2 linked regions of the Lonchura striata genome follow. The protein of the gene in region 2 binds, or shares a complex with, the protein of the main gene of each other region. Links are inferred from orthologs where the notes say so. Each region holds a gene or a part of one and is shown on either strand. Other genes may lie near its edges.

Region 1 (12,350 bases), on a different chromosome or scaffold from region 2:
AAACAGAACACTGTGTTATTCCAGAATGAAAGCCTCTGAATTGATTTGACATTTAACTACATCTGCTCTAAGAGTTATAGGAAGCTCTAGGCAAGCAATCCTTCACTATTTGTTGTCCCCTGTAGCTGTAACAAACATCTCCTAAGAGAGCTTGGCATTACAGACTCCACAGATTGGTCAGAACACAGACCTTGTGTCCAGACAAAATGCTCATAGAGAAACTTATTTCATAAGAGCACTGGGTTAGAAGGCTTGCAACATGTGAGACACAGGCGTTCTAAAGATGTTCATTGAACCAGCTGGAAATCACATTTCTGTTTTCTCACTACAAAACCACAAGAGAATCCCGATGGAGAAAACATGATGGAAGATTCCACGGCACTCCTAGTGACACCAACAAACCCCTAGTATGCTATAGGAGAAGAGCAACAGACCATCAAGTCCTTTTCATCAAAGTGCTGACAAAGTGGCAATCTAAAACTCACAAAGCAAATAGAAAAAACTTACTTTTCCAGATTGAATGATACCCACAGAACTAACATACCCTTTTCTAAAAAATAACCCAACAAAAAAATAAATTTACAAGCCTCATGTTTTAAAAATCAAATTTAAAAAAAAAAAAAAGTATTTCCAGGATAGTTGTTATCATTTTCATATTATCTCGCCCCCTCCATTAGAAAAGGAAAACAAAAAAAAAAAAAAAGTACTAGAAGGTTTAGTGAGGCTCACCTAAAGTTCTATATTTCTATACATTTCATCTGGAAGAACTCAAAATATTGTGGGGGCTGATGAATATGATCATAAATTTTGATTATAATTTTGATCATCCACACCTGGATGAGCAAAATTACCAGAGTTGGACATTGCAGGGTATTTTTAAAGGACCTAATTACACCATCATATATCTGCATTAAAAAGTTAGCATTATCTAATATCTTTCAAGTTATTCATCCCAAAAAATTTGAGATTTATAACTCCTACATAATATATTCACAGATTCATTTTGAAAACTCAAGCATCATATACAATACAAATGGTATTTAATAGCATGTGGCAAGAAATTGACAGGATGTTGACACACTTTAAATTTCAGTTATTTACAAATATGACAAGTATTTTGCAAATTACTATTTTAATCTCAGATTTTTAAGTTCTGAATTATATTTTCAGAATTGCATTTTTTCTCTTCAGAATTTTATTTTTCATCAAAATGTTATCATTATGATATTTCACTTGCATACCAGATGGCAGATACAAAAAAAGTTTATGTTCATGTTGAAAAGTGGGGCTTTTTTCACCTATTACCACTTGTTGTTTTTCTGGAAAAAAAAATAAATATAAAAACCCTAACCCCCTATTTTTTGACTAATATCTACATTTAGTGTAAATGCACATAACAGCTCTTTTACAATCTCTTTTACATCTGCCCAATGATGCATTTCATTCTTTACATTAAGGAATACATGTTTATGTCTAATTCAAAAAAGTCACATCAAATAATTACAAGTGCTCTTAAGCTTAAATTGACTTGCAACCAATAATTACTTTTACTTTTGACTTAAAAAAAAAAATGCATCTGTATCTTCCAGATGAAAAGATACATTCTTTTTTTTTTTCCAGATGCACAGTCTCAATCATATGGATACAGGTAACTCAATTCTCAGAAGCAACTAATAGGAGCAGGAGAGAATCAGATAATACTAAGCAACTAACTAGATATTAATAAATGCCTAACATAAATATATATTTCACATGCCAGAAAACCCCACAATTTTAAGCAGTTGCAGAAATTGAGCAGGCTGTGTTAGTAAGGAAAAATGCCCTACACCATCTACTTACTAGCATGCTTATCTGCAAGCATTATAAGGCTGTTAGAAATATCTCTTCGCCTGTAAAAACACACCACTTTCGCTTCCACGTTCCCATTGGCAGTCTACAAAAGAAAGAGAAAATCAAGTCAGGATGTATCCCTCCTCAGCTGAGAAATACAAATTAAACACTCTCTGCTTGGAGTGTTCCCTCATATCAGTATTTCTCACATGATTAGTCAAGCTGAAATCAACAGAACTACTTCAATATACTCAAATATAAAATCTTCTTGAGAGAGGCCAGTACCAATTTCAGAGCAGACAAGAGGATTAACTACAATTATTGAGTCCTCAGAATTTATATTTTGTTCAGGTCTTCAGAGGTGCAATGCATTCTAAAGTAAGAATCCTTCAGAAATGTTAGAATCTTGTGAACATTTCTTTACAATCCTGCTTTGGACAGAAATGTATATTTCAAAGTACTCGGGCATTTTTTCAGAATCTCATTTAATATAACATTTATTGAAAAAGTCTTTTGAAAGATTTATTTGAGAAAGTCACAACAGCTCCTAAAATAAAAGAGCAGTTTAGTTCACTGTTTTAATTACTCATTATGAGGACCACAATCTTCTATAAAGAATTTACTAATATTTGAAGAACTTTATCCTTCTCCTTTAAGGGTACAAAAGTAGTTTTTTACCTTGAGTTACTTACTTAATACTAAAAAGTATAATGTTTTGATTAAGCTTCTTACAAAAAAAATATTGTCCCTATTAGAACAATAATCAAAGCATTTTATTACATATTTACATAATATCTTCACATTTGCTCAATACCTTTAACATATGAAAGCAAACCATTCACATTCAAGATGTGTGGACTACAACCTCCAGCCTCCCTTTAAGGAAAAAAAATGAATACATGACTCTCTTCTACCCTGCATAAGCAAGATTAAATTATAGCAATGCAGTTTAAAGATAATAAACATTACATTCAATATATGATTGGAATCATGTCAATTACTGTGAATAAAAAAATTTTCTTCTCCAATAAAAGTCAAAAATTATTTGCCATGCACAAGTTCAGTGGATGTTGCATTGGACAGCACTAACAGCTAATGTGGTTGATGTCTGCTATGGCATATTGTTATGTTTCATTAATAAGAAGAAAACCACTTGCAAGTCACCAATTTTTTAATTTACTTTCTAACCACTGGGGAGAAATATCTTAATCATTACTTACATCATGATGAGCATTTTAACAATTAACTTTTGATGTAGTGCATCAGTAAGTTTTAATACTGCTTGAGGGAAAAGTAAAAAAAAAATACAAAAATATTAAAAATAATTTTAAAACCCATAGAAACACCACACTATTCTTAGTAGTGTCAGAGTGAAGAAAAATAATCATGCTTTCCCCAAAATGACTGTCAACAGAGCCTCCATTTTTCAGGAAAATACACTCATGATAAAGACAGAGGACACAGTTTGTACTTTATTCAAAAGCCCATTCTTCATTCACAGCTGCCAATAGGCAGAGCAATAAAGCCACAGAAGTCACACATTGTGTTACTCGATCAAAGTCTCGCTGGTACCTGCCAGCTCTTCAGATGTCTATCTAAAAGCAGACTCGTTACATGATGGCTTCACAGTGTCAGATTCCAGATGGATTCACAGTGTCATCGTCAGCCAGAGAATGAAATTTATTCATTTCTCCAAGAATTCATAGAATTCGTTAGAAAATTTTTGCAGCAGAGTAATCCTGTTCACCAGGGATGAACAACTGGGTGCTTCCTTAGGTAACAGGGTCGAGTAAGAGGATATCACATAGCAAGTTTTCAGTAACCCTCATAAATCCCTCCTACAGTAGAAATCTTATGGGATAGAAATAATTCTCAGGTTTTAACAAGAACCCTGACTTTTGCCAAAGGCTAAGAAAGAATCTTAGATATTTGTACCTTGTTAAGTTCTTCAATTCTCCTAATGAGATATGGATTGCTGGAAGAATTTTCAAAATAAACATAATCTGAAAGGAAAAAAGGGAAAGTCACTGAAATACCAAAAATTATGTAAAGACATATCACTATTAGTGCAAAAGTTTTCTTCTAAAACAAGAAGTTTTGAAAGGGCTGAGATTTCTTCATAAATGTTGGGACCGTGATGTATTTCTACACTGAGATTTAATATAATTTGTTCCTCAATTCTGGTTTTAACTGCACTACACCTGCTTTAACAACCATGCTGGGAAAAAGTTAAAGGCTTTGTGTTGAAATTTACACCGTAATCTAGTAATCCATACACCTCATTAATCTTGATAGGGAAGGAGCAACTTCTCACAATCAATTAGGGAAGATTTAAGAACTGAGCACTTTAGTGACTTTCCATATTACCGAGATTTACATTTCTGTAAGAGACGACACGTCACATTTATTATCAGGTGTTGTGGCAGTACAGTTGTCCCAATGAGTAATGTATGTTTTATGATACTTGCTCTTGTAATCTCTGTCCACTAAAATGCAAACTATATTAAGCAGGAATTGTCATGAAATTAGCAAGGATCTTGTAGGAAGTCTCTTTCAACATCATTAATATAAAAATATCTTAATAAAGTGAATGGAAATTTACTCATATCCTGAAAGCTGCTCCCATGTAACATACAAAGAATTGACAAGTGTGTTTCCTTCATAGTTTTCTGAAAACTTGTTTTTGTCCAATGAAGAACTACCCACCAAATGTCAACCACACTTTAAAGTTGATGTTGGACTTCTGTACCATGCCCCTTGCACACTTTGTTTCTAAAAATCGGATGAGGAACTATAACAATGTATAAAAGCCTTCTGCAACAGTTTGACACTACGGTACAATGAAAAAGAACTTCAGGTAGTTCTAATGAAAGAATAAGATCTCTGGATAGTGCTCACAATTGTTTATTATGACTACAACGAAAAAAAAAAATAATAATTGGTGACCCATGAGGTAAACCCTCTGTGCTACCTGCTCAGAGAAGGATTACTTTCATGAGTAAATCTAAGTGCTCTAATGAGACAGCATTCAGATGGAAGATTTGTGGCTCCATCAGTGTATCTCAAAGCATTCAAACTATTGTCACCTCTCATTTCCACACATCTTTCCTCTCGGTTCTGGATTTTGAGAGAGCAAGAGGATGGAGCGATTTTTGAGCACCCAGTACTACATACCTAACTTGAGCAGTGCACCTGAGCCACAGCACTGGGCACACTGCCACGTTCGTTCCCTCCGTGAGCGAGCCAAAGTTATCCGTGTCATTTTCGACAGGCTCGGGGTGGGAAGACAAACGTTTGCCGTGTTTTTCACCGCCTAAACGCCCTCTCCCCACCGCCAAGCAGTCACGAATCAGGGCGCTGCTCAGGGGTCACGGCGGCGAGCAAGGGAAGCTGACAGAAATCCCCCGGTTACGCAGCCAGATTAATTATTTATCCCCAGCAGACCAAGGAAGGCGCGGAGAAACTCCGCCGTGAGAGCGAGGGAGGGCGCGGGGGCAGGGAAGCGGCGCGGAGGGAAGCGGCCCCGGGGTGGGCTCGGGCTGTCCGTGCGCAGCGCCCCGCGCCGCCCCGCACCGCCCCGCGCCGCCAGGGCCCGCCAGGCCGCGGCGGGGCGGGCGCGGCCCGGGGGCGCACGGCCGGGCGGGCGGCCCCTGCTCGCCCCGCGGGGCCCGGCGCTCGGCCCCTCCGCCGCTCTGCGGGGAGGAGGCGAGGCGCAAAGGGCGGCCGTGCCCGGCCCGAGGCGCGGCGCGGGGCTGGCAGCCGGCGGCGCCGCTCCCCGCTTTCCCGCGGAGGGCGGCGCTGCCCTTCTCCTCCTCGGCGGCGGGGGCCGGGCTCCCACCCGGCGCGCGGGGCTGGCGGGGGAGGAACCTGCGTCCTCCGCCCCGCGGAGGGCCCGGCGACCCTTCGCCGGACCGGCTGCCTCCTCTCGCCGCCCGCCCGGGCCCGGCCGCCCCGCTCGGGACCGCGCCCGCCGGGGGCCGGGGCGCCGCTCTTCGCCCCGGCGCGGCGCGCACGGCCCGCGGCCCGGCGGGACCCCCGGGCGGGCGCGGGGGGCTCCGGGCGGGCGCTGCCGCGTCCCCACATACCTCCCACTCGGTACATGTTGGCCGCCATGTCTGCGCTCTGCGCCGCCCTCCTCCTCCTCCTCCTCCTCCTGCCGCCTCTGCCGGGCCGGGCTGGGCAAGGAGGGAGCGGCTCCCGCCGCCGCCCCCCCCGCGCCGCGCCGCCACCCCTCGCCGCCCGGCCGCAGGACACAGCGCCCCACGGGGCCGCCGCCGCTTCCGGAGCCGCCGGCGGGGAAGGGGTTAAACCGGCGCCCCGCCGCTCCCCCCGCGCACCGGCCCCGGGGCGGGTCCGGGCCGGGCCCGGCCGCAGGTGGGGTGGGGCGGTCCGGCCGGGCGGCGCCGGGGGAGGTGCGGGTGCGCGGACACGCTCCCCGCCCTGCCCGAGGCACGCCACGTTCTGCGGGCTCCCGCCGCTTTGTTCCGACCCTTTCGGAACTTGGGGGTTTTTTGGTGTTTGCCTCTTCCCCGGAGCGGCTGAGGGATCTCTCTCCTTTGGCAGCTCTGAGTAGTATCTCAGGAAAAGTTTGTTTCTTGCGCAGCACCTGTTGGTGATGGGTTTGGCGGCCCCTTTGTTCGCCTCCGTAGCGCGGTCCCGCGGGCGGCTCCGGCGCCCCCAGCCCGCCGCGGGCACGGTGCCTCTCGGAGCTCTCCGCCGTCCGCAGGATGCAGCTTGCTCGCAACAGGCAGCAGAAAACATCTACGACAGAATAAAGATAAATCTAGCAGCTCATCTCGGAGGCAGGAAGCGTCGAAAGAGATGCTTACAAATCATCCGATGAGAGAGATGCTTAAAAAACATCAATACTGATGTAACATGAAGCCATTTCCCCCTGTTTATACAAAGTTTACACCATAAGCAACAATCCATACACTTTACAAACAAATTGATCCTGCTGTGGCATGCTTTCTTGGAAAATAAATGCTTGTTATTATCTTCCTGCAACGAAGGGGATGATTTATTATTGGTTTTATGTCCTGGATATTTATGTGTGCAGCTTGAGCGTTACCAAGTTAAAATTTCACTTCATCCTGAGCTGCAGGAAGATGCGTTGATTAGAAGGAGGGTGATCATCCTTGGTGTTTCAAACGATTATATCCTGTCTTTCTTTTCTCCTCTAAGCAAATCTGGGACTATAAAGTTTTGTCTACTTCCAGGACACTTTTAATTTCTCAAGTGACTACAACTTTGTATCAAAACGCCAACTGAGAAGCAACTTTCTGAAACACATGTAACAGGCACATGATACAGTAATTTATTTTTCTTTTAAAAACAGCAGCACATTCAAGCAGTGAAAGGAAAAATGGGGAATTTTCCTCTGTTGAACATCTGTGGGAACTGAAAACAAGTCAGCAGAAGCTCCTTGGGAAGTACCAACTCTGTCCAGCTGGGTATTTCCAAAGGCACAATAACATGACCTTAGCAGAGACCTGAGGTGTTACTTTTACTCTCCTGTTTTACTGCTTGGGCAAATGAAAGAGGTTAAACTTTTTAGGCAAGAGAAGTTAATTCGAACATTTGGTTTGGCACAGACATTTCCAATTAAACAGAATGCCTCCAAGCTCTTTTCCTCATTTTAAGTCTGCACTTGGACATTAGGGGGACTGCCCTCACTAGGAAGTTTACGATGTCCCCTCATCCAGCAAGGAGTAGATTTGGACAGACACAGACCATTGCTTCCATCAGCTGAAGGCATGGCCTGTGGAAGAGAAAAGCAACTCCTGGAGATACAGAAGGTGAGAGAGCAGCCCAGGGAAGCCCATGGTCCCAGCCTGTCCTTTCAGGTGGACAGCCTGAAAATAGTTAGAAAACCACCCTTACTTACAGCTGCCAGACTGAGGCTGCATCGCAGACCAGATAAATAGAGAAATAATGACATTTATATACCTCAGTACTGAATCACTGGGCCCTCTTGTTCGCAGTAACACGGCTCGCACAGCAGCAGCACAGCCCGAGGTGCTCAGTACATCCATAGCTCAAGGTCACTGCTTTGGGAGTGGGCACAGCCAGCTAGTGGATACAGAGTTGCAGGACTGGCAGTACATTTTACTTTGGTGTAACATACACAAAAGCCTGGATACAGTTTATATTCAGTGCTCTCTCAGTGTACAGAATGGGAAAAATTAAAGTTATGTAAACACCTTCATTCTTCTAGATTAAATAGAATGGAAAACTTTTGTTTCAACTACAAAACTGTTAAGAAAAAAACCCCAAAAACAGATAAGAGCTTTGTCTTAACCTGGTATATGAACTATGTTTAGCTATAGACTGATATCACTTGTGCTGTTCAAAAGAAACCACATTTCTGTGGCAACCTAATTCAAGACACAAGAGAGATTATTCCTGATAGAGACATGGGTTACCTGAGAGCTTCATTTTACAATTTTCTTTGTTGTGCCACCGTGAGCAGTCCATCATTCCTCTTCACGGTCCTCCAAAGAAAAGCCAAAAAAGAAAGAATGGAGTGTTAAAAGGATCATTTTAAAACACAGACTAGTTCCATGGTCCAGGCTGGCCAGCTGCCCCCATGGTGAGCAAGATCAGCAGTCCTGAAAGAGATGGACATCAGACACTGAGAGAAGAGATGACCAAGGACCTTTCACAGTATCTCCCACAGAGTGTCTATTGATTTATCCAGGCTGCACCCTCTTTTTTGGCTTTTTCTCTTTAGCTTCATCAGATGCACCTAAATCATGTCTATTACATGCCTATAAGGTCAACTGGAGCTATACAATTTTCTTAATGTATTTAAAAGAACACTACTATGAAATAATTTTTTTCCATTAGAGATAGTACAAAAAGTTTCACCTTTTATTTATAGGCAATTTCAGGCTTCTTTCTTGCATGTGGAATTATATAGACAAAGGTAATGGGAATCTACTATCAGACAATTTTATTCCTGAATTTTCATTTTTCAAATTGAATTTTCTCATTTTCCATTATTGCAGAGTGAAGACGAAAGTTTTAAAAAGTTCTGACAATTTTATCATTTTGTGAAGTCATAGAATAAGAGAACTTCCATTGCAGCTGTCATGCAGCATCCTATTTTGTGTCCATAGAATTTAATTTCAAAGTTTCCCAATTTCAGAAGTTCCTTAATTACAAAAAGCCTGAATCTAAACAACGCCAACCTCGCCATCAAAACACGTCCAACCTATAAGCTTCCTCACAAAAGATACCAGAACTGAAGACAAATCTTTGTCAATTACTTGATTGATAATGATTATACTGAAAGTCAAGAGGAATAAAGTAAAATATATTGATAGAGGTGTGTATTTCAGATTGATATACTTCAGGATCTTACAGGTAGGAACATCTTAGTGAAATTGATAAAAACACTGAAGAAGGAGTTACTTGAACCTTTATAAAAAATGTTCATCTTCCTGTAGACCTTTCACAGATGCTCACCCTTGTGTTCATGCAATATAAAGGAAAAGGCATTTCCCATCCTTGGCCCATACCTATGGGATCCTAGAGGGTTTGTTGGTTTGTTTTATTTGCACATGGAATTTTGAAGCAGGGGCAACATTCAGCTGTTCAAGTATATGAGTTTACACCAAGGAAAAGCAGCTCCCTTGCTAGTAAAACTTTACAACAAATGAACTGTCTGCATACACATAATCCATGCAAAGAGTTAAACAAATTACAAGGGACTTCACCAATAACAATTTCTTATCATCTTAAACTGCTACACTGAGAGTAAATCACCACCACTGAGGACTTGGGTAGTTTATGGACTTGTGCTGTAGCTCAAAAATAAAATGTAGCCTGTACAAAGTCACTTTGCTCTCATGTGAACAAACAAGCCAGCTAACACAGTCACACATTGATCAGACTGACTTACAGGCAACTAACAGTATACAGGTGCTTTTTTTTTTTATCAACACAAATACACACCATAGCTTGCGAAACCTCATTAATGAATTTGTAGCAGAGACAGAATTTATATTGCTGTTACTTAATTAGTCACAAAACAAAAGTATTTTTTCCATATCAATACTCATTATTATATTTATATAAAAAACCCTTATATAACTACCATTTTGTAACAATCATTATATAAGGTGGGGTTGTGGGTTTTTTTGTTTACAGAAATACAAAATTCAGTGTTTGTTATCACAAGCAATAGAAACTTTTAGCTGCCTCTACAAAGCAGAAACTAGGTGCAATCTGTAAGAGATGCTTTCACACCAACTTCTATATAACACCCCAAATCTCTCACAAGAAAAAAATCATCTGCTCTTGGTGTCAGAAATAATGTTGGCTTTTTTATTGAGTCTGAGTCAGATCTCTTAAGAGACTCTTAGTTAAATTTGTCACTATTTTCATTAAATATGATTTAAACAATAGCTTAAAGCTAATTGCTGAATTACTAGTACTCTGCAGATTTAGATGTTGAATCCAAATCCTAAAGTCGTAAGAATTCTGCTAAATCAATGTGCAGATAAAAATGGTGCTTATGGTGAGCAACAAGTTATTTATTGAGAGGGGAGTTAAAAACAGGTCTCAGGTAATTGTTTTTCAATAAGTATCATAGTGTATAGATTGGTGCAATAGCCTACCAAATGGCATTTCTTTGACACTACACATAATTTCATTTCCCATAAATCATACAATTAAATCAAGGTTTAGTCTTTTTTTTTTTTTTTGGGGTTTTTTTTTTTTTTTGGTGCAAAATAAGTCAGATCCAGACCCATATGTACCTGTCTTCTTGTTTTTACTGAATTTGCTTTAATGAAAACCAGTCCCTTGCAATGGAAAAATTGCTTTAGCTTTGAGGAAGGGATGGTAAAGTAGGGGTTATCATTAATCTTCTATTAAAGGCTAGATGTATTTCTTCCACTCCAGAGGCATAACTCTCCATTTTTTAATAATAAAATCAATAACAAAGTAAATATCTTCTATTTCTAATCGGATTAGAAAAAAAAAAAAAAAAAAAAAGATTTACCAATCTAGAGCTTTTGTTAGACCTAACAATTTACTTTCCAGTCCCCATCTTAATGGAGAAAAAGCCTGCAACTCTAGGATTCAGTTTTTTACCCCATTCTGTTTGCCAGTTTTAGACGACCCTTAGGTTTATGTCTAGTTTTTGTTCAAGTCCATGCAAATTTTGTGGTTGACTCCAGTGGAGCTAAAGCAATACCATTACATAGCTTTTTTCTCTTTGACAAAAGCAAGACTGCAAATGAGAGCAGTTGGAAGCACACTGCACACATCTGCAGCACTCTAAAGTGAAGCCATTTTGGGCTTTGGATAGATACTAAACACTCTACAGCAAATTTACTCTTTATCTCTCCCTTTCTTTCAACTGATCTATTTTTTGTGCTTAACACCTGCTAAAAAGCTGTGAAAGGTGCTTAATGACACCTATTTAAGTACAGTGCAGTACATTCATCTGAGCAGAATTAATTTAAGTCAAGGACTCCACATCTGTTCAGTTCAGTTTTTCTGGAGCTTGAATGATCTCAGGCAAGCAACACCGAAGTGCAACTTATTGAAATGTACCCTCAGTGCCTTCCTGTGTCTCTAAAGACTGCCTGGTGTATCCATTACAGATGCATTTGACCTGAAATTTCCAGTTATCAGTTCTACCTCTAGCTTTGAAAACCAGAACAATTTCCTTATGCAGACATTCTCAGTTCAGTCAGAGAGATATGAAGGTTTCTAACCAGGCAGAAGCCTGGGAAACAGTTGGGAAAGAATATAAATAATTCTTTATCTCTTTTGTTGTTCACTTTGTTTATAGATAAGTTCTGCCACTGTGAGTCATTCACTGCACACCAATGGATCTACTCTAGGACCAATAGAGTGGGTCTAGACGATACTCTTTATAAAAGAGATATATTTTAAATACATCAGAGTTCTATTCTCTCGCCTTCTGTAGTGATTTCACACTGTCCTGCCTCAATGGTGTCATCCTTATGCAGGTCTCCAGCTCAGCGCAGTGAGAAAACCATCACTCATTGTTCTGTTGGTAGGAGGAACTTCACTTCTGAATTCAGGCTGGATGACTCTTAGGGACACATTTATCAGTGCTGTAATGCACACACCTTCCTTCCTCTTAAATCAAGGGCATCATGCCTGCTTACACACAGTGAATTTAACTTTGTGTGCCAGTGACCTTTATTTCTTACAACAGGTGGTGTGACAGAGGAGGTCAGCTTGTGATGAACCTATGTGATGAGCAGGTGTCTGACTAGATGATTTACTTCCAAAAACCACTCTGGGGAGTGGTGACAAAGAGCAGCAGCATTCAGCAACACAGCAATGCTGCTGGTATTTCACAAAGTATTGGTGCTGTATTTAAGTCTTTTACCTAAAAGACTTTTTGATTGTCTCTCTTTGACAGAAACAATCAATTGTCTCAAATACCTGTCTCAAGCTATGAAGTACCTTCTCAGGATGAGTGGAAAGAACAAGGAACATACGTCTAGATGGATAGACTTAGTATACCAGGC
Region 2 (12,546 bases):
ACTGGATGTGTGCTCCCCAATCCCACTGGATGTGTGTTCCCCAATCCCACTGGATGTGTGCTCCCCAATCCCAGTGGATGTGTGTTCCTCAATCCCACTGGATGTGTGCTCCCCAGTCCCACTGGATGTGTGTTTCTCTTCTGCCCTGTATTTTGTAAGGTCCTATAAAGCCACATTTTACAGACTCTTTCCACACATGAACACGAGAGCATGTAAGAGGAGGTACCTGTAGCCTGGACTTTATCCAAGGTACGTGGTGCTGTCTGTGGAATCTCAGCAGTTCTCCCTCTGTTTCACAGACCCTTCAAGCTGAGGCTGCTTGAAACATCAAGGCTGTTGGCATTTCAGTGGCTCGTGGTCACCACCTCTGTTGTTGGAGGTTACTGCCTCTGCCACAGCCTGCAGGACCTCCTCACAGAGTCCTGACCATATGGGGTACCAGACAACGAGGCTGGTACTGAAAGGATATAAATTCTTCTGTCCTAAACAAGGCAACTTTGCAAGAAAACACATGAGAAACGCTCCTGAAGCTGTTTTGCCAACCATGAGGCATCCTCGAGCATCAGGGGAGAGGTAACAGCTTCACCCAGCACAGCTATTTCTGCAGCAAGTAGCTGAACACAGCTGTAGTGTTTTGGCTGACTACAAGAATATTTTATTCCTTAGCCCTCTACACACTTTGGTTTGAGTTCAATAAGAACTCCTTCCCACCCATGGGACACCACATGCATGTCTGCACAAGTAGATCCATGGCACAGCCAAGCCACACACTGAATTCTAACAGCAGTTGCCAACCCAGAGCTCAGACAGAGCCCCCACTCCCTCCAACCTTCCCATAATTTTTTAAATTTAAAAGAATGGACCCTGTTCTCATTTCCACAAACCATTCCTTATAGCACTGGCTGTGAAAATCGTATTTTCACCCACTATTTCTCCCTTGAACAGCCCTTGTGGAAGGAACAGACCTTTCTTTGAATAAAACTATTTCCTTTTAAAAAACGCAGTGCGCAGACACATAAATATGTTCTCAAGAACTAGGACATTCTTTATCATAACAGCCAGAGGCCTTGCTCTTTTGATCTGTCACACTCTGGGCCTTTCCTCTAGTACTCTTGTGCTATTTAATCTTTCCATGTGGATAACGGTCATGGTTTATGTCTCCTCTTCCTGCCCTCCTGTCTCTTTCTGTATCAGAAAAACTAAAGCCAGTCCCTTGACTCCCCACCATTCTTCTTTTCTTGCTTAAGCTATTCCTACACCAGCAAGTTATTTGGCACCACAAGGAACAGATCAAGAGATTAAAGCATTTGGTATGTGTACACCACATGTAGTTGGCCTGAGGGAGTATGACTTAAGGTTAGATTTTAGTCTGGTTCCCCAGGCTAGGGGGGTATGGTTCAGAGCTGTGCCATCTTTGGTTTGGATCCCTTGTTCCCATTGCAAGGGATGGAGCATCTGTGTTGCACAACTGGAGAAGAGCTTTTGGGCTACTTTTATCCAACAGGAATCCAGTTAGAATGAACCCAAACCACTCTGCAGCAAAACCAAGGTGCTGGGTGGGGACCATGAAGATTGGCTGACTGTGAAAACCACGCTGTGAAAACTGCTCTCAAGCAAAACACTCAGGAAGGCAAAGCCAAAAATGCCCGTTTTCTGAATGCCCAAACAAGTCCACTTGAAAATTACTAATTCTGAAACATGTTTAGAGAGCTTCTCTTTGCATCATACTTAACGTCACATGGACTTCGAGAGATCAGGGATCACACAAATTTCAGTCTGAATTGGAGAGGGGAGCATATTTCCTAGAAATTATCCCCCCTGCTAAGGCACAAACACTTTGCTCTCTGTTCTGCCTACAAAGAGTATTCTTTTCAGTACTCCCACTCCAAAAACAACCTCTCAATATGGTCAACAATATCAAACAGAAGCTGTCTCTGTAAAGGGCGACAAGCAAGCCATGTGCTCGAGCAAGTCTGCACTGCAGTGCTGAGAACATAAGGGCCAGCCTCGTGTGCTGGTATCGTTTCTCAGGGCTCAGTGGAACTGGTCTCTCCAGCTGCCAGCTACGGCCCCAGACAGGGAAATGGTTTTCATTTCACCTCCCAGTGAGAATTTGCACTTTTCACAAGAAACTTGTGGTTGCTGCGAGGTGTGGCAGGTGCACTGAGAGCCCCTTTGGTCCTCAGCTACAGCAGCACTTGTACAGGCCGCCACTTGTTCACATGGAGCCAAGACACAGCTCCTTCCCTTGTCACTGTCAGCTGGAATTGGTGTTTCCAGACCCTACAGACAACAGTTTTTAAGCTTTGTTACATGAACAAGACTTTGTCTCAAAATGTGACATTTCTGCAAGAATGAGAATGAAAGTAAAGGAAAATCCCAAGCTATTTCTGCTAGCTTCTGTATCTTGACACGCATTTTCTCTGACCTGTGCTTAGTCTAAACAAAATAGGAATGCTGGTGAATATCCACTGAGCCAAAAAACACATGGAAATATGGTGAAAAACAAACTACAGACCCATTCACAGCTGGTGTAAGTGTCAAGTTCAGCTTAAGTCAATGGAGATGCTCTACTTCACCTCAGCTCAGCAGCTGGTCCCTTACATAGTCAAACAAGATGAAACACAAGACAGATGAGGAGGAAACAGCACTTCCCAGGAATCAGTAGGATAAGCAAAAGAAGACAAACAAATCAAAACATGGTTGTTAGAAAAGGTAACAGAGGTTCCCCTGGGACCCTGCAGGGTCAGGTGAGGCTGGGAAGGTAGAGCCACTGCAGGTCTCTAATAAAGCTCATTTACAGCCCAGGCAGTGAAGGTGCTTGTGCAGGAGATTAAATGGGGCTCCTCATGCACAGGCAGCTTGGAATTGAAAGCTTGGGGTACTACATGCAGGAACCCAATTCCCTGAGCACAGACACTCCAGGAAGGTGACTTCGGACAAAATTTGGACAAAACACTGCAAACCCGATTGCAGCCACCCTGGGCCAAGTGTCAGCACTGACCTGGGCAACGGGGAAGAGGAACAGGCACTGAATTCTGCTGTGACAACACATTCTCCTTCCCTCAGCCTGGTGTAAGGCAGAGGAGTCAGCACCCAGATGCTTCCAGCATCCTGAGTCACTTGTGGAGCAGCTGCATTTTCCTCACCCACAGTCATCCCCAGATCTGCCGACAACCCACGGAGGTTTCCTCCCTGTATTTCCTCCCCCACATCCAGCTCCTCTCCCTCTGGACTTCAGTCCAGGATTGGATTCCCAAAACATGCTCCCATGCAAGAACAGAGCCCAGGCACCCACCAACCACAACTGCTTCATCTCACTGATGTGCAGTTTAAGTATCATTTTGCAGAGTGGCTACTCTCAGCCTCAACTTGAGAGGAGTTTGCTCTGCAGCAAGGACACGGCTCCAAGAGCTGAGTCGACACTGCCTTCCCAAATACTCCACCAGAAGCCCTGCACTGCAGGGAAGCAGCATTACCTCCCAGAGGAAAATCCCTGTGAGATCCACAGCTGCCCAGAGCCCTCCGTCGGCCAAGCCCAAAAAATTCAGCATTCATATAGAGAGGTTTCTGCAGGGCTGATTTCAGGCCAAAAGGGACAGATTTCCTGTTTTCCTCTCCTCTGCAGGGCTGTGGGGGGGAGGTAGGGGATGGGGGTCCTCCACCCCAATTTTGGAAGCAAACCTAGGATTTATCCTCCTGGCTGGGGGGCATTTAATTTAGGCACAATAGAGAGGCAATCTCCTCCAAATCAGAATTAAGCTCCAGAAAGGAGGGGGCCATTTGCAGTCATATCACTCTGAATGCGATATGTGCAACTGCAAGGACTGCTTTGTCTAAGTCCCTTGGCCTTAGGCCACGGTGCTGGCAATACCACTAGCTAGAGGAAGAGCTGGTGCGTGAGGATAATGGCAGAAGACAGGGAGGGAAGAGAGAGCCCATTTTGGATTCAGAGGAGGACGTTCTTTCATTGAAAAGATTCTGGGGGTGTTGAGGATGATCCGAACTCAGAAGAGAGGACAACTTAGACAAGAATAGTTCCAGCATGACAGCAAACTGCTGCTAACTTGCCGATACAAGGGGAAAAGGAGGGTGGGAGAGAAGGGGAAGATAAAACTGCATGAAAGAATCCAAAGCCGGAGCGGTGGAAAGCGCAGACACGGCAGCGAGAGGGCTGGAGACAGAAACTTCACCGCTCGGCTCGCATTGTGCGCGGCATGTCTGAGCCGGGATTCTGCAGTCCCTGCTCGCAGAGCAGCCAGACTCGGATCCCCTCCACTGCATGACCTAATCCCCACCCCTCACCCACCATCGCAAAATACCACCTTTGTTTTCCCTGCAATTTTACGGCTGTTCCGGAGAGCAAGGCACAGGTTCTCGTGGGAGCCGGCAGGAGAACGGTTTCCCTTGCTGGGCTTTGCTTTGTTTCTTTTTTTTAATTTTTTTTCCCCCCTCCGGTGACACTTCTGCTTTTTGTCAGAAATCCTCGGCACATCCCCTGCTCCCTGACCCTTCCGCAGAGCAGCACTCGAGCCCCACGGTGCTCCCCACACACGACCCCGGCTCCCCGAGCTTTGCACCCTCGCAGCCCCACCGAGCTCAGCTCCATGCAGGATCGAGGTGGCACAGCCACATCGGCTCATCCACCAGCTGGTGACGAGTCCTTGCAGTAAAATACGATTGCTGCTCTCCTGGTAGCTAGAACAGAGATGCATCCCGGAGATCCCTTTCGCTCCTCAGCTTCCCAGGATCACAACCGCTAACGGTGCCGTAAAAATCACACAGACACATTTCCCTCCCTCCTAAACCTAACTCCAAAACTTTTTCTCAGGGAAAAAAAAAAAAAAAAAAATCAGTCTGATTTGTGGCTGTCTGATTGATGCCAGTCCTGCAGGCTGGGCTGCGGGCATGGGAGACGAATACGAATTTTTAAAGTCAGAACCAACTTCTCCATTTTGGTGCGGTTTAATCGGAGCCGACGAGCACAGATTAGCGAGATCCCCTCCAAATATCCCACAGCGAAGCAATTGCTGCTGCGGCTTTGTTCAGGCTGCACCGATTCGCACACGGAGACCCGATGCACAGCAGCACCACAGCACCGGCAAAAACCCGCCGGCTGATGCCTTCGGAAATCGGGAGGAGAAAAACGGGGCAACGTAGTTTAAAAAGGAAGAAAAAAGAAAAAAGGCAAAAAGTTAACGCTGTCAAGGAAACTTTTTAAAGAGGAAAGTTGGCAGGACTCCTGTACAAATCCAAGGATGAGGAGCGATTTTTAAACAGGAGTTTTTTAAGAAATAGTGCAATCCCTGTGTGCCCCCCCATCCCCAAAAGTCTCCAGCGAGCGGAGAGGGCTCTTCCGCTCGGGATGCGGGGGAGGCTCCGACGGGGCAGCGCTGACCGAGGGTCGCCCCGAGGCGCCGGCGGAGGTCGGGGCTCCGCGGCTCCCCGCGGCCCGCGGAGCGCGGCCCGGGGCGGCCCCGCCGCCGGAGGAGGCGCGAGGCGAGGCGCGGGGCGAGCGGCCGCACTTGCGGCGTCCCGCCAGCAGCGGTCCTCGCTGAGGCGCCGCCGGAATATTCCTGATCCAGATCAATCAGCCGCCCCGGGGAGCCGAGCATGGAGGAAACCCGGCGGCCGGAGCCCCGGAGCGGCGGCGGCGCTGCGCGGGGCCGGGCGGGCGCGGAGCCCGGCGCGGGGGCGGCGCGGAGCGGGGCTGGCGGCGCCGGCCGGCGGGCGGGCGGGCGCGGTAATGGCGGCGCGGAGCCGCTGCCCCGCCATACCGGACTGGGCACAAACTCGAGTCCGGGGCTTCCCCCAGGTGCCGGTGCGGCACCCGCCGCTCGCCTCCCAAACTTGCCACCCAGTTGCCGCCGCGCACTTACCCGGGTTGAGGGGAGTCCCGGGGATGTGGGCGTTCAAGTTGGGCTTGTAAGACATTCCCAGAGACATGGCCAGCGGGAGGAGGAGAAGCGTCCTGAAATTCAGCGAAGCGTCTCCGTGTCTCCCAGACACTTTGGGTTGTTTACAGCAGTAGCAGCACCGGCAAATATGGCCGTCAGTTATATTGACACCCACAATGCAATATATCATCCATACATCATGAGGAGACGCGGATCCAAAAACTTTGGGGGAGAGCCGGCAGCCACCCGCCGCGGCCGCCCGGCGCCCCGCGCACGGCGGCGCGGAGGGCGGGGGCGCGGCGGGCGGGGGCGCGGCGGGGGTGCGCGGCCATCCCCTCACAGACAATGGAGCTCCCCTCAGGGACCGCCGGCAGGGAGCGGGGCGGGCGGCGGCGGCGGCGCGGAGCCCGGCGGCGGCGCGGGGCGGCGGGGGGGGGATGTTTTAATTAACTTCGGAAAGTTTTGGCACAAGTTGCGGGTTTGGCCGCGCTGTGCCCGCGGCGGGCGGCGGCCGCTGTCAGCCCCGGGCGTCCCTCAGGGCGGCCCGCGCGCCGCCGCCTTCCCGCCTCCCCCTCACCTCAGGGCGGGCGTTCACCCCGCGCTCATCCCCCCGCCAACCTCGAAAATACCTGTTGATAATTTTTAAATAATTTTTTTTCTCTCTCTCTCACCCACCCCCCTAGATGCCGCCGAGAAAAAACCTGCCCTTTTTATTATTTCTTTTTTTTTTTTTTTTTTTCCAAACCACTAGTTCTTTCTGCTTGAAGGTGGAAGGTTAATGTGGATTGCAGCTTCTGAGGGACTAAAAGAACATGGATCTCGTTGACAATCGGCACATTTTCTGCTTGCTAGCAGCAGTAAAACTTCCCCACCAAAATTTTTAAAAGAATCAGGTTAAATGACGAAGCTTTCCAGCATGCGTCTGCCATCAGAACTCATCCTTTTCACTGCAAGATATTCAGGTTTGCTCCTTCAGTCAATTAATATCAAATACACTCGAAAATTGTTCAGTTACTCCAGGTTTATCCAAACAAAACTACTTGGGATCTGGACATTCTCTCTCCTTAGGTGCACAGCTCAGCCTGAGACCCCCCCATATCAGACCCCCATGTATATTTTACCAGCAGCCACTCTGAGATCTGATAGTTTTATTGCATGCGCTGCCTCATGTGCTACTTAATGTCTATCCATGGCTTCATACTGCTCTAAATGCCAGTGACAGCAGACACGGAGAGCCTGATCATGCCTTTTGGAAATCAGGGGCACATTCCTCGTCAGTGACACTGACTCAGGCCCAGAGTGGACGGCCCTGCAGAGGGAAGCAGGTAACACCTCCGTCACAGAGACACGGAAACAGTCACAGAGCAATCAGATTATTTCCTCTGCATAAAGGAGAATCGAGGGAGAATGGGAAAAGAGGAGCAGCCTTTGAGCCCCTGGCTCATGCCCTGCTGACTGTGCACTGCATGAGAGAAACATCTGAAAATTCTGACTGGTACCAGATGAAATACCTTTGTATTTTATTTCCAGACCAAATGCTTGACTCCAGCGATCCTGGCGAATTCCAGACTGGCACTGACTGTCCTTACAACTGATCCATGCTCTGGTCTATTAGAGAGGGGTCCTGAGAGCCCCAGGCACAGAATTACACGCTCAGTGACAGTAGTTTCACATTGGTGCTTGTGATTACAACTGTGTAATTCTTCTTAGAGCCCTGAAAGACTGCACTGGTAAACCCTCACCGTGTGAGTGAGAACTCTGCAAACCTAAAGCTTCACTTCCAGATTTGTAAATAACAGCCTTTCTGTTGAATCCTGGAAGGCCAGCAAAGTCCTGCACACCGCTCCGGGATTTTCCATCATGTGGTTGTTTACAGTCACACCAAGTGAGTGAGAAATGGGAACACTCCGAGCTTGCCGTGTTTTTCACGGCTTTACACCAACTCTACAAAACTGTGCTCAGAGCAACACTGTGAAGAACAAGATCCCCTGTGTTTTGCTTGCGTTTTATAAAGACAGCTCCAAAATTTACAATATTCCAAGGGGGAGGCAGGGTGATGTGGAAAAAGTCCTGTAAAGATTATTCTTCCTTCAGCACAAGGCACTGTGATCTTTGGAGCAAGGTGTGAGGGCCAGGCTTGCTGAGATGCTCAGGCATGCAGGGCAGCATCATTTGTCCTGTAAGCAGGAGCCCAGCAGTGTCAGATCTGGGTATCTGATGTTTGCTCTGCAGTTTTCTGGGCACAGGTAGCAGTGGTGGCACAAGACACAAGACCCTGATAAAGGACAAACTTACTGCTCGGCCTCAGACTCTATTTAAGATTAATTTACTCTATTTTTTTGGCACTCACTGCAGGGTAGGAAGTACCTGCAAGTTCTTCCCATCTGCCGTGTGCTCTGAGGGCTCACTGCAGTTGTTCTGAACCAGGTGTGGCCACAAGAACAAAACCACTGTCGTGCTCGGGCCCTGGGCTGGCTGCTCAGCAGGGTGACCACAGAGTCGAGCTCCCTTGGAGGGGCGGTTTCACCTTGTTTGATGGCCCAAGCTGGGCTGCACCGCTGGAGTTGTGCTCTGCACATGCAAACTGTGCCTCGAGTGTGGCAGCTCCAGCTCCCAGGCTGTGTGCAGCAAGCTGCAGGTCCCTGCTCTGCAGCCTGATGGCTCGGTGGTGTTCGCTGACAGCAAAAGCAGCTCTTCATCACCAAGTGGCCAAGTCACAGAGCAGGAAACACAGCAGAGCCATTTTATCACACAGGTGACATTTGCAAGCCTGCTGCACGCTAAAATGCAACTTAAAAATAAACGTGTGAACTGCTGTTTTCCCACAAGAGAGGATGGACAGGAATGTGTGCCTGTCTCTTCAGCCACTACAAGAAGCACTGATGATGTATTTTCCAGGTACAGCTGCCTCTTCTGAGTTGTGCAATATCTGCAACATTCACTCTGTTCCCCTCCCCTTTCTTCTCTTGGTATTTTATTTTCTCTTTTCCCTCTCCTGGTTTGACTTCCTCACCTCTGCTCCTCCCAAACCACTGGGAATACTGAGCAGCCAATATTTCCACAGAGTTTGCCTCCAGCCCCTGCTTAGGCAGCGCTGTGACTGATTTGAAGGAGGTTTTCCCTTTCCAAAGCTCTGTGGGTCGGTGCCATGGCCCTGGGCGAGGGTGTAAGGAATACACATGCAAAGTGGGATGTTGGAAGGTGCTGGCAGCTCTGCCACAGGGCCGTGGGCCATGCTGTGAAACAAACTTGTTTGTCCCCTTTTATCTGGAAACAAAACGAAATAGTCATCACAGAGCCGTGCTGTAACACTCATGGGGACCTGCAAATGAGGAGCACAAACTAGGCTTGTTCCTTATCACCTTGGGTTAAACCAACAATGAAAAGAATTAAAGATGGCACAGTAAGACCCTCTTTTTTTCCTGGCATGTCTTTGACATGTGTAAAACATTAAATTTGCGCATTAATTTTAATGTAATTAATTGTTATCAGGCTTAATTAATTGAGTGACTTGGGGATATTCTAACTGTCCTTTACCCACCACAGAGCCCCATGTAGCACCAAGGGGAAAGAAGTGGGAAGTTTGTTCCTTTTCCTAGAGGGAGTTTATATTCAAATGCTTATCCTCACATTTCTGGTGATCCAGCCTCGTACATAAAATAACCACAGATGCAGCTTCAAGTTGATGAGCACCAGTTTAATCTTTGAGTCTCCAAACCGATCAGGTGCTACACAAAATGAAAAGCCTCTGGTAGGCCTAGACTGAAAATTAAGCTTTTTAAGTCTTGAGTGAAGGCAAGGTTTAACCTCTGTGGAAAGCGTGATAGAGGCATGTGAGTGTCAGCTTTAACAAACAGCATTTTCAAAGATGCTTTGCAGAGCTGAGTACCTTTCTCACTGGGATTGTAATGAGCCAGCAGCTCCTGGTGCAGAACCCTTCCTTCCCCAGGACACCCAGCAAGCCCCTGGGGCAGTCTGGGACCCTGGCACAGAAGGAAAATTGTGCATTTTATGCTTTTTTTGGCATCAGTGCTGTTCCTTTCTTATCGCTTTGCTACAGCTCCTTCCATTCCTGTCTCTGTTCCCCACAACTGCTTCCTGCTGATGCTACTAAGTTTCCCTCGTGCTTTTTTTGTTCCCAAGAGAAAGCTGTCAGCCCTCGGAGTCCCTCCTCTGTGATCTGCCTTTTCTGGCTGATATTTGCTGCCTGCTGCCCCATCCTCACCAAAATGCACAAAACCAATCTAATCCTGAATAAAAATACATGTTCCCAGCTCCACCCTGTTGCCTTCTTACACCTCAAAATCCCCCTGGAAGCTCTGGATTGCTCCCCTCCAGGGGAAAGAGCCCTCTGAGACTGTCTACAAGGAGGGCTGTGGTACCGTGTCCAGAGCCAGGCCCCAGGAAATCCTTGCAACAATTTCAGGTGGAAACCCAATTTCAGGTGGATTCCTATTCCAGCCAGGCTTTCCCCCTTAAATCCTCCCTGACAAACTTCTTCCCAGTCTAGCCCTGCTCCCCACTTGGAGATGGTTCCTCCCAGGGCCAGATGCCGTATTATCTGGAGCGACTTTCCCTCCCAGCCTTGTTTTCCTCCTGCTCCTGAGTCCTTTGTCTGGCTGCCAAGCGGAGCAGCCCTGCCAGGCAGACAGCTGCTCCGCATCGCCGCACGGGTGCTGCCCTATGGGCTGAGCAGCCCACTCCAGGCCCGTTCCATCTCCGAGGGGGACGCTCGGCCTCCGAGGTGTGGCATCCCAGCAGAGAAAAGGCAAATAGCACCTGCAAAGCTGTCAAAGGGGCTGGGAATGTTTAAGATAAAGAGGCCTTGGTGGTGCTCTGGGTTTACCTCTGAGACAGCGTGAGTAGAGAGCCTGCTCGCTCCTGCTCTGGCTGGAGGTCTCCCTGGAGGACCACGGAGGAGGAATGAGAAGTTTCCAAGCCCGCAGCCACAAAAGCACAGGCCTGGAATCTCTCTAATGAAAGTTTTCCTCTTTGCAGTTTGCCAGGCAAACAAGCACCAGGCACCAATATCAAAACCAGCCCAGATTCCAATGAAAACCAGCAAAGAAGTATTAGAGTAGAAATGAAACCGCTTCGTTTTGCTTGGTAAGTACTGGCAAAAAAAATTACAAAGCCCCCTCGGGGAGAGGAGAGGAGAGGAGAGGAGAGGAGAGGAGAGGAGAGGAGAGGAGAGGAGAGGAGAGGAGAGGAGAGGAGAGGAGAGGAGAGGAGAGGAGAGGAGAGGAGAGGAGAGGAGAGGAGAGGAGAGGAGAGGAGAGGAGAGGAGAGGAGAGGAGAGGAGAGGAGAGGAGAGGAGAGGAGAGGAGAGGAGAGGAGAGGAGAGGAGAGGAGAGGAGAGGAGAGGAGAGGAGAGGAGAGGAGAGGAGAGGAGAGGAGAGGAGAGGAGAGGAGAGGAGAGGAGAGGAGAGGAGAGGAGAGGAGAGGAGAGGAGAGGAGAGGAGAGGAGAGGAGAGGAGAGGAGAGGAGAGGAGAGGAGAGGAGAGGAGAGGAGAGGAGAGGAGAGGAGAGGAGAGGAGAGGAGAGGAGAGGAGAGGAGAGGAGAGGAGAGGAGAGAGGAGAGGAGAGGACTCTCCCTGCCCTGCTGGGCACAGGGCACAGGCAGCTGGGCTGATGGTGGGGCTTGGGCCAAGGGGCTCCTCCTTTCTTGCTGTTGCTCGCAGGGATGGAATATCACTTTATGCCCACATTAGAGAGCTTCTCTGCATCATCTTTCCAGACAAATGAGTGCTCCACCCTGCCCGATTCCTTCAGTTTGCCTGGAAGGACTCTCCCTTCTTGCCCTGTGGGCTGGACTCCTGCTTCCCTCCCACTCCTGAGCCCTTGAAGGCTGTGCCAAGGAGTGAGCTGGCACTGCCGGGCTGCGGCACGGCCCTCCTCTGCCTCCCTCCCCGCGCTGCTGTGGGCCCGGGGCAGGGAATACCCCACCCTTTGGCTGGGGCAGAGGAGGTTCTGAGACTTGCTTTCATCCCAGCCCTGTCTGGGAAAGCTCCTGAACCTGCTCTGCGTCTGGCAGCGCCGGAATCCACAGCAGCAAAGCTGAGTGTTGGCTCGCCTGGAGTGCTTCCTGGAGGCAGGCTGGTGTCACACACCCCTGTCCATGTGAAATAATCATCCACGTGGCACCTGGGAGAGCTGCAGGTTCAAATCACAGTTTGAAGAGACACACTGGGGTTAAGCCCCACAGAAAACCTCCTGAGTGCAAAGCAAGCATCACCTGACCAGTGTCAAATGTCTGAAACAATCAGAAGCACAAACACCTCTGTCCCTCGGAGCCTCCTCGTAGCACCAACTGTGCAGCCTGACGGGAGCATCCCTAATTGCTTTGTTACTGGTCATTTGAGCAAAGGAAGTGGAGGAGAGAGTGAAAGCAAAGCCCAGGGCTGGAAAATGGAAATGACTGTGAGGAAAGGAATGTGGAGCTTCACAACAACTCAGAGTTGGCGGGGGAGAGAAGAGCAGGGTGAAGGGGGAAGGAGGAAAAGCAGGAGGTAAATCACGGTGACAGGAGAGCACAGTCCGAGTGTCTCTGCCGGTGTCACACAGCCCTCGGCTGGCGCTGCTGGGCACAGCACTTCCTTCCCTCACCAGCCCACAGCCCAGACACAGCTTTTGCCAGGATGAGTCTAAC

Evidence for each region.
Region 1: CDK2AP1 (region 2) and MTA3 share a complex: the UniProt entries of both Homo sapiens proteins name them as parts of the nucleosome remodeling and deacetylase (NuRD) repressor complex. The link is inferred for Lonchura striata from reciprocal best matches to the Homo sapiens genes CDK2AP1 and MTA3.

What each region holds. Positions count from the first base shown.
Region 1 is NC_134605.1:14,008,970-14,021,319, reverse strand, and holds the start of MTA3 (metastasis-associated protein MTA3), read right to left. Parts: upstream 6,041-12,350; 5' UTR 5,944-6,040; coding exon 5,916-5,943; intron 3,834-5,915; coding exon 3,766-3,833; intron 1,934-3,765; coding exon 1,840-1,933; intron 1-1,839. UniProt on the Homo sapiens protein: Acts as a component of the histone deacetylase NuRD complex which participates in the remodeling of chromatin.
Region 2 is NC_134620.1:13,006,400-13,018,945, forward strand, and holds the start of CDK2AP1 (cyclin-dependent kinase 2-associated protein 1), read right to left. Parts: upstream 6,186-12,546; 5' UTR 6,088-6,185; coding exon 5,880-6,087; intron 3,602-5,879; exon of another isoform or gene 3,559-3,601; coding exon of another isoform or gene 3,480-3,558; intron 1-3,479. UniProt on the Homo sapiens protein: Inhibitor of cyclin-dependent kinase CDK2. Also acts as a component of the histone deacetylase NuRD complex which participates in the remodeling of chromatin.